Linked DNA regions of Kluyveromyces lactis. Each later gene encodes a partner of the first gene's protein in a complex. Links are inferred from orthologs where the notes say so. Each region holds a gene or a part of one and is shown on either strand. Other genes may lie near its edges. The genes, in order: POM152, GLE1 and NSP1.

The links.
Region 2: POM152 (region 1) and GLE1 share a complex: the UniProt entries of both Schizosaccharomyces pombe proteins name them as parts of the nuclear pore complex. The link is inferred for Kluyveromyces lactis from reciprocal best matches to the Schizosaccharomyces pombe genes pom152 and gle1.
Region 3: POM152 (region 1) and NSP1 share a complex: the UniProt entries of both Schizosaccharomyces pombe proteins name them as parts of the nuclear pore complex. The link is inferred for Kluyveromyces lactis from reciprocal best matches to the Schizosaccharomyces pombe genes pom152 and nsp1.

What each region holds. Positions count from the first base shown.
Region 1 is NC_006042.1:1,588,404-1,592,162, reverse strand, and holds the start of POM152 (Pom152p), read left to right. Parts: upstream 1-1,040; coding exon 1,041-3,759. UniProt on the Schizosaccharomyces pombe protein: Functions as a component of the nuclear pore complex (NPC).
Region 2 is NC_006039.1:1,325,215-1,328,757, reverse strand, and holds GLE1 (nucleoporin GLE1), read left to right. Parts: upstream 1-1,272; coding exon 1,273-2,907; downstream 2,908-3,543. Other genes in the region: MRPL7 (mitochondrial 54S ribosomal protein uL5m), read right to left, coding at 1-832; FMN1 (riboflavin kinase), read left to right, coding at 3,287-3,543. UniProt on the Schizosaccharomyces pombe protein: Functions as a component of the nuclear pore complex (NPC).
Region 3 is NC_006041.1:1,040,757-1,044,463, forward strand, and holds NSP1 (FG-nucleoporin NSP1), read right to left. Parts: upstream 2,859-3,707; coding exon 516-2,858; downstream 1-515. Other genes in the region: NUP192 (Nup192p), read left to right, coding at 1-410. UniProt on the Schizosaccharomyces pombe protein: Functions as a component of the nuclear pore complex (NPC).

The DNA.
Region 1 (3,759 bases):
CTATCACCAATTTACAACACAGAATATCTGACCTCTATTGAGCTAGCGCCTCAAACTCTTACAGATTCTAACGTATCGTGTTTTAGCAAACTCTCTTCTCGTAAATGACTTATTTGTAAGAGTGCAAATCAAATAAATCAAAACCTTAAATTTCTAAACTTCTTTTATAGAAGGAGATTCAAATGCACCTCTGTAATGTTATATACGACGAACGTGAGAGCTGTATATGGTGTTGAAAACAAATAAGTTCCAGTGCTCCAGTTGTGATTCAAAAAAGGAGACGATCCTGGACAATGGAAGTATCTCGATTCCAACCAAAACATTCTTTTTCTCTCTGGTAAATATATATATTATATATGTTAGGACCCTTAGCTATCATTACTATTACTGAATCTGGCATTCAAATTTGCCGAGGTTTTTATCAGATGAGGTCATGATAAAACTTACCTAATTCAGGATTCATTAGCCAGATGGGGTAAAGACATTTGCTTACTAGCATTTATGTCCTCCTTGCTTCTGACTAGGGTTTTATGAGAGGATGACGGGAATTTGACGGGAATTTGACGTAAGCAATGGAGCTATGCAACGGAATCGACATTATAATATCGATGCAAACGATCTCACTGGTAATTCTGGATAGGCGAAGAATTCAAGAGGCTATAATTCGAATATTAAGACCACAACGTAGTGGCAGATCATATAGAGTTGCTGCGTCCTTGACCATTGTACCTTGATCAGAAGCGAAACCTGAATCGTACATAATGATATATCCGATTCAGATCTTGTCAACAAACAGAAGTTCAAACTTTAAGCTTATGTTTGGTCTTCTCATGTATGCAGATGCAGGCTAGGATCAACAAGCAATCGCGATCCAGGCACCCGTTACATACCAATCGTCAATTAAAAAGCGAGCGACTAAGTGATAAGTTGTATGCGTGATCCCATTTTTTTCTATTAAACTTCTGCGTATTGGCACTTTAGAATCATATTCTGTTGAAAAGGGAAGCTGAGATAAGTTCAGACGCATATACAGTTAGATAATGGATTCCAGTTTCGGAACAAATGGGTTCTATACACATACTCCATCGATGTGGAGTGATAGTAGGCGTAGGAACGTTGGAAATAGAGATAAAGACTCGTTCAGAGGAGGAATAAGCGATCGAAGAAATGAAGAGATCAACAAACCAAAAGAAGATCCATTTTGTATATCCGGTTTTTCCAATTACACAGGAAAATCGAAGTCAAGCACTAGTAGAGCAAAGAATGGCCCAGCGAGTGAATCGATTAAGGAGCTACCTTTGATTTCTACTGAAGTTCTCGATGCAGCCAGTCAGAGAAGATTAGCCTTCGTCGTTTTTTTTATCATTCAATGCTACAAACTATACGATCTAATCCTACTTAAGAGTGGGATACCATTATCTGGGATTTTTCTATCGAATTCAAGGTTAAACTTCATTTCAAAATATTTGGTAATAGACTCTTTGTTCTTTTACTGTCTCCCCACGTTCAAAATACCCAAATTAAAGTTCAAACCACTGATAGTGCTTTTGCAGATTATTTCATCCGCAACCCTCACACTGTTTATCTCCAGTGAACAAAGTATCCCATTGGTATCGCTTCTATTGTCATTATGGAGACAGTATCACAGCAGAGACTTGTCCTTAACAGGTGACTCTGTCAACCCAAGAAAGGCTATGAATTCGGCAGAACACTTCAAAGGTGCACATACCATTAAAATTTTGCCAGAAAATACAGCATATTTGAATCCCTTCCACTCGTCTTTTTGTCTACCACTGGACCAATCTGGTCCTGCCATTGAACTACCTATAAGAGTCAACTCATCATCCACAATCAATACAGTCCAGTTAGAGTTCAGAGATCTATACTCAAATGAAGGTGAACTGTGGAACTTCACCAAGAACGATTTAAAACCACTCAAGGCAGATATTTCAAAGGAAGAAACTGATCGTAACATACATTACTTTACTGTACCTCTTAACAAAATCGGGTTTTACCAGTTGAAAACCGTTCTAGACACTAATAATATCAATTTGAGAATATACAAATCCCAATTAGTGCTACCTCACTGCCCATTGGCTTCCATTAACGGAAAGGGAGAAAATGATAGATGTGTTGGAGATAATGATGAGGTTTCAATTCAGGTACAAGGTGCTCCACCTCTTAAATTGACTTATACTAAGACAATCAATGGCCAAAGATACGTACTAGAAGATTCATCACTTCAACCAGAATATTTTGAATCACCTTTGCTAACGAATTCAAAATTCTACAGTCAAAAAGATGTCCAAGATTTAAAATGGGCTCGTTCGTACCCTGTAGATATCGCATTAGAAACTTCAACCAAAGAATACGGTGAACATGTTTACTCTATCGAAAGAATTGTGGATGGATTTGGTAATAGCATTGATTTTTCCTCATTATCATCACAAGTAAGAGAAAAGTATGATTTGATCCACAGATTCTACGTGCACGACTTACCAAGAGTATCTTTGGATGAAAAAATGAATCCCGACAGTTCTGTTAGAAGGTCTTTAATAGTCAAATTGGACTCTGGCGATTTTAACAAGGATGCTCCATTCATCGTTCAGTTATCCCATGAAGATAACAACTCCAAAGTGAGATACTTCGAAAAACAATTCAATGATAAAACATTAGAATTCAAAGTTGATGAGCCAGGTTCTTATAATTTGCTCTCAGTAAAATCGAGGTATTGCCACGGTGCCGTGATTGGAAAATCTAATGTTCTGATAACTAAACCAATTCCTCCTCAATTATCTGTAAGATCAACCCCAATATTAGATCAATGTGTTGGACAGGTCGGCTTGAATTTTGATCTTACTTTTACCGGTGTTCCTCCCTTTTACTACAAAACAAAAATATACAAAACTGAGCAAGGAGAACGTAAACTATATGATACAAAAAAATTCAGCTCCCAAGGAACCAGAAACCAGTTTACTTATTCACCCACATCAGAAGGCAGTTATGAAATTGTTTTCACCGAATTGTCAAATGAACTTTTCACATCTCCTATCTCCTTAGATTCGAAAGAGTACACATTCAAAACCAGCATGAGAGTGAAACCTAGTGCAAAGATTTCAGGGAAGCTAGAGACAAAATTATGTCTTGGAGGGAAAACGAAGGTACCTATTAAATTCAGTGGTGAGCCTCCTTTCACGTTAAACTATGATTTAGTAGAGACTTCTTCTAATAAGAGAACTTCGTTTAATAAAGAGAATATTCAAAGTTTTTCCTATGAGATCGAAACACCTAATTTCAACATTGGTGGTGATCATATCCTATCTTTAGTTTCTGTGAAGGATTCCAGTGGATGTTTGGTAGGTCTAAGTGGTACTGATGCCAGAATTACCGTTAGAAGAGATATTCCTTCTGCTTCTTTTGCTGTGTCAGAATCTTCCTCCCAAGTCAGCATTAAAGAAGCTTCATTCGCAGAACTTCCATTAAAACTTTCAGGTGAAGGACCTTTCAGAATCACCTATAGCCATTTGGATAACAAGGGAGACGTTCTCGAAACTGAAGAGGTGACTTTCAGTTCCAACTATAAACCGGCCTTAAAGGTTATGAAGGAAGGTTTGTATAAATTGGCTTCAATTCGTGACCAGAGTTGTGTTGGCAAGATCGTAGATCCGAACCATACTTTCCAAGTAAGTTATCTCAAAAAACCTACGTACTCATTAATTGAGCACAACAGAATCTCAAAACTGGACGATTTCAACTACA
Region 2 (3,543 bases), on another chromosome or scaffold:
ATCCACTGACCAAAGTTCTAGCCTGTACGTCAGTTTGGGCAGTTGTGTTGATGTTGATGTGCATACCAAAAGTTACTGGCCAAAGATCTTGATTAGCATCAATCTCTGGGAAAAATCTGACTTCATCGCTGGTCATACCAAATGATAACCCACCAAATCTGTTACCTGACTTGTTGGAGATACCTTTGTATTCTCTGATTCTTGGTAGTACAATTTCAGTCAAAGTGGATAAGAACTGAGACATTGGACGACCTTTCAATGTAATGACAGCACCCATTTGGGTACCTCTTCTGACCTTCCAGGCCGGAACATCATTCCTAGAGAACAAAGCCTTTGGTTTACACCCGGTAATTTGTTGCAATTGTAATGCTGCTGAAATTGGTAGATATTGGTTCTCTTTTGCATCTCTGACGTAACAGTTAATAACAACGGACTCGATGTCTGGAATGTTCTTCCACGTTACTGGATGAATATCTGGCAATTGAGCACTTGAGCCCTTAGGTTTTCTGGGTTCTCTGTTAATGTGATATGGAGAAGAACCGTCCCATTCTCTTTGCTTCAACCCGAGCTTCGTTTGGCTTTTGTGGGAATAATTTATCAATAATAAATCGCTTTGTAAAGTATTATAATAATGCTCACGAACACGGTCTTGATGTGTAACAACAGGCTTGAATGCTGGAGATCTAATATCGTTTTTACTATATTTCAATTCAGGAAACCTTGGGGATAGCTTGCTCTTGTCGATCTTAACCAAATGATGCACTGGCTTAACCAAAGCACAAGCAGCTTTGGAGACCTTTGAACTACTGTGGAAACCACGTACCACTTGCATTATCACTTGGTATCTTCTCACAGATGCGAACGAATGAATGTATAAACCTACGAATGGGAAGGAATACTGCTTTAAATCGAGTGAAACTGATCAAATCTCTATCATTATCTTACAGCTTTAGCTCGAAAGGTCGAAAAATTTTTAAAACTTTCAAGTACAGAGAATTCAATATACGTCACGTGACAAGAATCAACAAAAAGTGAAATTTGATTAAAAACCAGGTAGAGCTCAGTTGATGATTATAGAGAGTGTTGACCTTTCAGCCCTTGTGTTGATGCATTGCAGCCGTTTTTTTTTGATCCCGTACTTAAAGACACGTAGCTGGATTCTCCATTTAGGTAATAACAGTCGAACTTAACCCCGAATCGTTTACTTGAATTGAGCTTTTTACCGATTTGATAAAGTAAAGAAAGCGATTGACACATATCAGGACAATTGAGATGAGGTTCTCATTTGACGAATTGTACGAGAATGCTGAACGGAAACAGAGTCAGAATACCAGCAGCAGTGATTCTGACTATGAATTAGACGGGGAGTTTACGTATATTGGCGATCCATCTGATGGGATCCAGTTAAAACTACCGAAATTATACCATTCTTCAAAGAATGACGGCCAAGGTGAAGAGCAAGGGTTTAGTTCAGGAGATACAATTTCTTTAGAGGATGTGGTAGAACCAGAAATAGTTTCAATGCTTTCCAACTTAAATATCACTCTTGAAAGGAATGCACTACCGCATCTTACAACGAGAGGTCACGAGAATAAAGCTTTAGGCCCTGTTCTTATTGACGAAGCAGAACTTTATTACCAAGAGAAGAAGGATTTGATTGACGAGGTGGAACAACACACCTTTCCTATGCAAGACCAGGTGCTTGAATCTGTGTGGAATGAGGAAATTGATTCAATTGAAAAGGTGAATCAACGTTTAATTAAAAGCATAAAGGATAAAAAGAAGAGGGAAGAGGAAGCACGTATCCAGAAAGAATGCGAAGCGGAGAAGCGCAGACAAGAAGAATTGAAGCATAAAAAGGAGATGGAAAAGAAGTTGAAGGAGGAAGAGAAACGGAAGATTCAAGAAATGGCAGAAAAGGAGAAGAAAGCTGAAGAAGCGAAGAGAGTAGAAGCCCTGAAAAAGAAGCAAGAACAAGAACAACTGGAGAGGAATAAACTTAAACAGTCCAAAGAATCTACAAATTTCAAGTTAATCGAAGAAACTTTTACTAAATACAAAACCATGATTCAGACAATTAAAACAGAAATAATTGAACCGGTGAAGGCGGATCCCACCTTGAAGAAAACTTTAGCACAACATAAGAGGAAAATTAATCCAAAATTCGGACAATTAACCAACAGTACTGCACAATTGAATGCAATCACCAATGAACTTACCGAACTGGTACTTCAAACGAAGGCTAACCAATTAGCCTATAAATGGATTCTAAACTTTATAGCTAAGGCGATTGTTTCCCAAGCAGAATCTGAGGCCAGAGTGAAACCTGAAAGCGCTTTGCCTTTAGGAACACTTGCGCTAAGTCTTCTTGCATCATACCCGGAACTCAAAGAGTTCTTACTGGCGAGACTCATCAAGAAATGTCCGTTTGTTATCGGTTACACGTGCAGCATAGACACAGTCGAAGGAAGAACCAGAATGGGATGGAAACGTCAAAGTGACAACAGATGGGAAGAAGATATTTCATATGATGAAAGGATGGGTGGTATGATTACCTTGTTTGCTGTCATCACAAGATTACCTCTACCGCAAACGTACATTCAGAAACTTGTGCATCCTTTCCCAATCTCTTGGTCATGGAGAATGCTAGCTAGAATCGGCAACACTCCAAAGGATCTACTTACAAATACACACTTCGTCGTTCTTGCCTACTGGTGGGAGGCTGCGGCAGCACAATTGCTCCAAGCATACAACGTTCAGGCAACAAAACTACTTGAAGTTATTTCGATTGATTTAACTGCACTTGTTGCTGACAAAAAATTCGTTGGTGCAGCAAGACTCCGCATTATTAACGAGGAATGGCATAATACAAATCAAATATCATCATTCCCAGATATGGCAGCATAACGGCTAGAGTTTTCTCTAGTAAAATATATATATATATATATATGTATGTATACCTTCAGATCTTCGTTTTCATCATGTGTTCAGGGCATAGTATATGCCTTATGTTCTCATAAAACTTTAATAATGAGGATTCAAATATTTCCAGAGAGAGAGCGTACCTCATTGCCTAGAAATACTCCGCAACTGTTGAACAAACCATGAACCCATTTTCACGTGCCCATTTACCCTTTTCTTTCTTATTCTTACTTGCAACAGTCTTTATACTCAAAGAGTTCGAACCTTTAAAAACGTAGTTTGAATCTTGTGAATACTTCCATGTGGTTATCATACAAACGAATAACGATCGGATCATCAAAAACTCGCAGTAAGACCTAGAGCAATGACAAGGCATTGTGACGTTTCGATACCGGATTCACCTGAACCTCCTTTTCCAATTACCACATCGTTCGTCGATGTAATAGCTGGTTTCGGTCGTGGATCAGCAGAGTTAGGAATTCCTACAGCGAACGTGCCCATCGATGATTTACCAAAAATCGTGGAGCAACTAGACACAGGAGTTTATTTTGGATGGTGTAAGGTAAGGATGGCAAAGGACCGTGACACCAAGGTGGAACAAAGACCCGATGGCAGAGAGGT
Region 3 (3,707 bases), on another chromosome or scaffold:
TTGAAACTATTACGTCGTGTAACTTCTTGAAAATGGATCCAGATCTTGGACTAGAATTGATGTTTGAATCTGTTGGTGCTGCAACCTCCGGAAAAATCCGTGCGAATCTAACTTTAGATAACCCTCTCCAGATTACATCATACGAAAATGGTATTTCGCTCTTTGAAATCATTATACCCATCTTCCAGTTGATTGCGTCAGTGTTACTCAGCTCAGGAACATCAAGCCAATACGTTTTCCGTGAGGCAAGAAAATTGATATCTCATTTCAAGCAATTGGTACAAGGCGCATTAAAGAGAGATGCATTACTTGAAAAGAATGGAGTTGAAACCAAACCAGAAGGACTTGAAGAATTTGTTCAACTCATCATTTTGGTTTGTACACTGACAAATTATTCTGGAGCGCAATAACGATCAGGGCAATATGGTTACATGATTATTAGATTGAACCAGCAAAGTACATAGGTTTCAATATATAGATTATCATAGTATTAACCTCAAGGTCAAAAAAAAAAATCATTTCTGAGACTTCGTCAACGTCTTGAGTTTTCCTTCAAGTTGCTGAGAGTTGTTCTCTAGCGACTTAAGAGCATCTAGGTGAGAATTTAATAACTGGATCAACTGAGCGTTTTCTTCCTTATTAGGGAAGCTTGAGTTTGTAGCCTTATTGAACGTTTCGCTAACTTCGTTTATTTCGGTAATCAACGAGGAAAGATTTAGTGACAAAGAGTTTAGGTTGTCGTCAAGCATTTCCACTGTATGATAGGCTTGTTGTCTCTTTTGATCATTCGTTTTGCTTGTGTTGTTATTGTTGCTCGAAGAAAGCACCTCAGATAGCAGATCTTCAGCCTTTTGTTCATAAGAATCGAGGAAATACTCAAGTTCAGATTGTTGTCTTTCGATATATGAGAGAGACTGATCTACTCTATTTTGAGATTGTTCAGCAGTTAATGTATCAGAGTACAACCGACTTATTTGTTCACCACCTTGCATTAATACTTTGTCCCACTGATTTATCTTCTTGGCGTAACTCTCAAAGTGATCTGCGGTTCCAGAAAGTTGGGAGGTCCATTTTGATACTAAGTCATCCAAAGTCTTATTGTCGAGGGAAACAGGTTCGATAGTAACGGGTTTAGTAGATGTCTTTGTTCCAGTTGTAGTTTCCTGCTTAGCACTTTCAGTTGTTTCTTTGGTAGTATCCGGTTTCAGACCGCCCAAAGAAAAGGAAGGAGCTTCAGTTTTCGTGTCTTTGGAAGCGGTAGTTTCCGCAGGTTTACTTCCAAAGCTAAAAGCAGGCTTTGAATCAACCTTAGTGTCAGATGTTCTGCTATCGGCAGGTTTACTTCCAAAGCTAAATGCAGGCTTCGAATCGTCCTTAGTATCAGATGATTTGCTATCGGTAGGTTTCGCTCCTAACGAGAATGCGGGGCTAGGATCGGCTTTATTTTCTGAGGTGTTGGACCCTAAAGCAAAAGATGGTTTTGATTCTGACTTTGACCCGTCAGTCTTGTTATCGAACGAAAAGGCCGCTTTGGAAGCTGACTTGGTATCTTCAGTCTTATTGCCAAAAGAAAACCCAGGCTTGGATTCGGTATCGTCAGCATTCGTGTTCAAGGATCCCAGAGAAAATCCCATTTTAGAGGCAGGTTTAGATTCTTCTGTTTTAGATCCCAGAGAAAATCCACTTTTGGTCTCCTCTTTACTGTTGCCAGATTTAACATTGAATGCAAAACCCTGTTTACTTTCTGGTTTGTCATTGGAAGGTTTAGAGGGTTCAGGAGCCACTGGTTTTGATCCAAAGCTGAAGGCTGGCTTACCGGCTTGTTCTGTCCCAGAGGGCTTTGCTCCGAAAGAAAATGCTGGTTTAGCATCTGTAGGCTTGTCCTCCGTTTTTGAACCAAATGAGAATCCTGTCTTTGCGCCTGAGGTTTTTTCTTCAGGTTTTGATCCCAGACTTAGCGAAAAACTTGGCTTGTTGGCATCTCCAGCGGCAGAACCAAAGTTGAACCCTGAAGTAGCACCGGCTGGTTTTGTATCAGTGTGGTTCCCACCAAAGAGTGATGTGGCATTTGTATTAGGTTTCGAGGTTTCAGTTGGTTTAGCGGAAGTTGTGAAGCTTGATGTTGAAGTTGTATTGGCACCAAATATTGGTTTAGAGGCATTGACACTCGGAGTTGTAGTCATTGCATTATTTCCAGATAGTCCGAAATTAAAAGCGGGCTTTGCATCGGTCTTTTGTTCAGGTTGTGTACCAAATGAGAATCCACTCTTGGGTTGAGTGTCTTTAGCCTGTTGCGACCCGCCAAATAGCGAAGAGCTACTTCCTGCTGCTCCTACGGAGCCAAAGCCACCAAATGTTGGTTTTGCTGCGCTTGTATTCGTGGTGTTGCTGTTGTTATTGTTCGCATTGCTGGCAGCATCGTTTGCGTTAAAACCTCCAAAAGCAGGTTTTGGTGCATCGCCTGTACCAGCAGTTGTATTAGAGGCACCAAACGAAAATGGCGAAGCTGCTGGCTTGACTGCATTAGCGCCCTGTTGTGTATTCATACCAAAGCCTCCGAATGCAGGTTTTGTTTGTCCATTGTCATTGGTAGTGGTCGCTCCAAACGCTGAAAATGCATTTCCCTGCTGCGTATTAGAGCTACCAGCAGCTGAACCGAAACTTGCAAAAGCATTGCCACTGGTCTGGCCTCCAGTATTGCCAAAGAGAGAGGAAGCACCTGTGCTGGTACTGGTGTTTCCTGTGGTAGATACATTTTGTCCTGATCCAGTACCGGCAAACAAATTGGAATTGCTGTTCCCACCGGAAGCATTTCCCGCTGTAGAAAAGTTGAAAGTGGGGTTTGAATTGAAACTCATTTTGTTGATTAACGAACCCTTGTAATTGTCCACTTCATAGACTAGCTATGCCTATTCAAACCAATTCGTTTGCCATTATGTATACAATTTTCAGTTTATTGTTTAATCATATCGAGTTTTATGATCTTTTCGATTTTAGAAAGAAACAAGGTCCAAAAAATTTGAGTGAGGGTAACCTTGATATGATGCATATACGGATGGACATATAAAGCTTGACTAGCCAGAGTAAGCTCTGTTTTAAAGTTTATTTCCTAATATTATAATGAATGTATAGTAAGATTTATATAATGTACAGAATTCAATCGGAGTAAACCGAGCTTGATGGCTTTTATGTCTTTCGATTCTCTCCTCCAATATCAATAACGGTTAACAATGGAATAGAGTTTTCCTAGGAACTATAAATCACATTACCAACTTTCTGGGTAATTTGATCCAAGAGTAAGGCATCATATTTGTGTTTTTGATCATCTCGTATATCTCAATGCATTAGGTTAAAGTTCCTTTTGAAAAAAAAAGAAAGAGAGGTGAAAGTAGGGGCAGACGTATCCCCTCGAATTAGTTTGTGGTTTTCATGTCTACAATTCTCCACGTTTCTTAGACGGAATGTAATTTGTATTCTCTTTGGGGGCTATGTGCATTGGGTGCTGCTATGTTGAGCCTGGCGAATTATTTGATTTCGCAAGCGTGGTCTTTCTTGAATGTGCTAGAGTGTCTAAAACTTCGTCAAACGCGCGGTCCATTTGTTCTTCTTGCTGTACTTCTTCCTCGCTACTATAATCGCTATCAGAATACCCATCACCTTTCTTCTCCTGCAGATTGGCTTCAACTCCTACGACCGTATTAGAACTT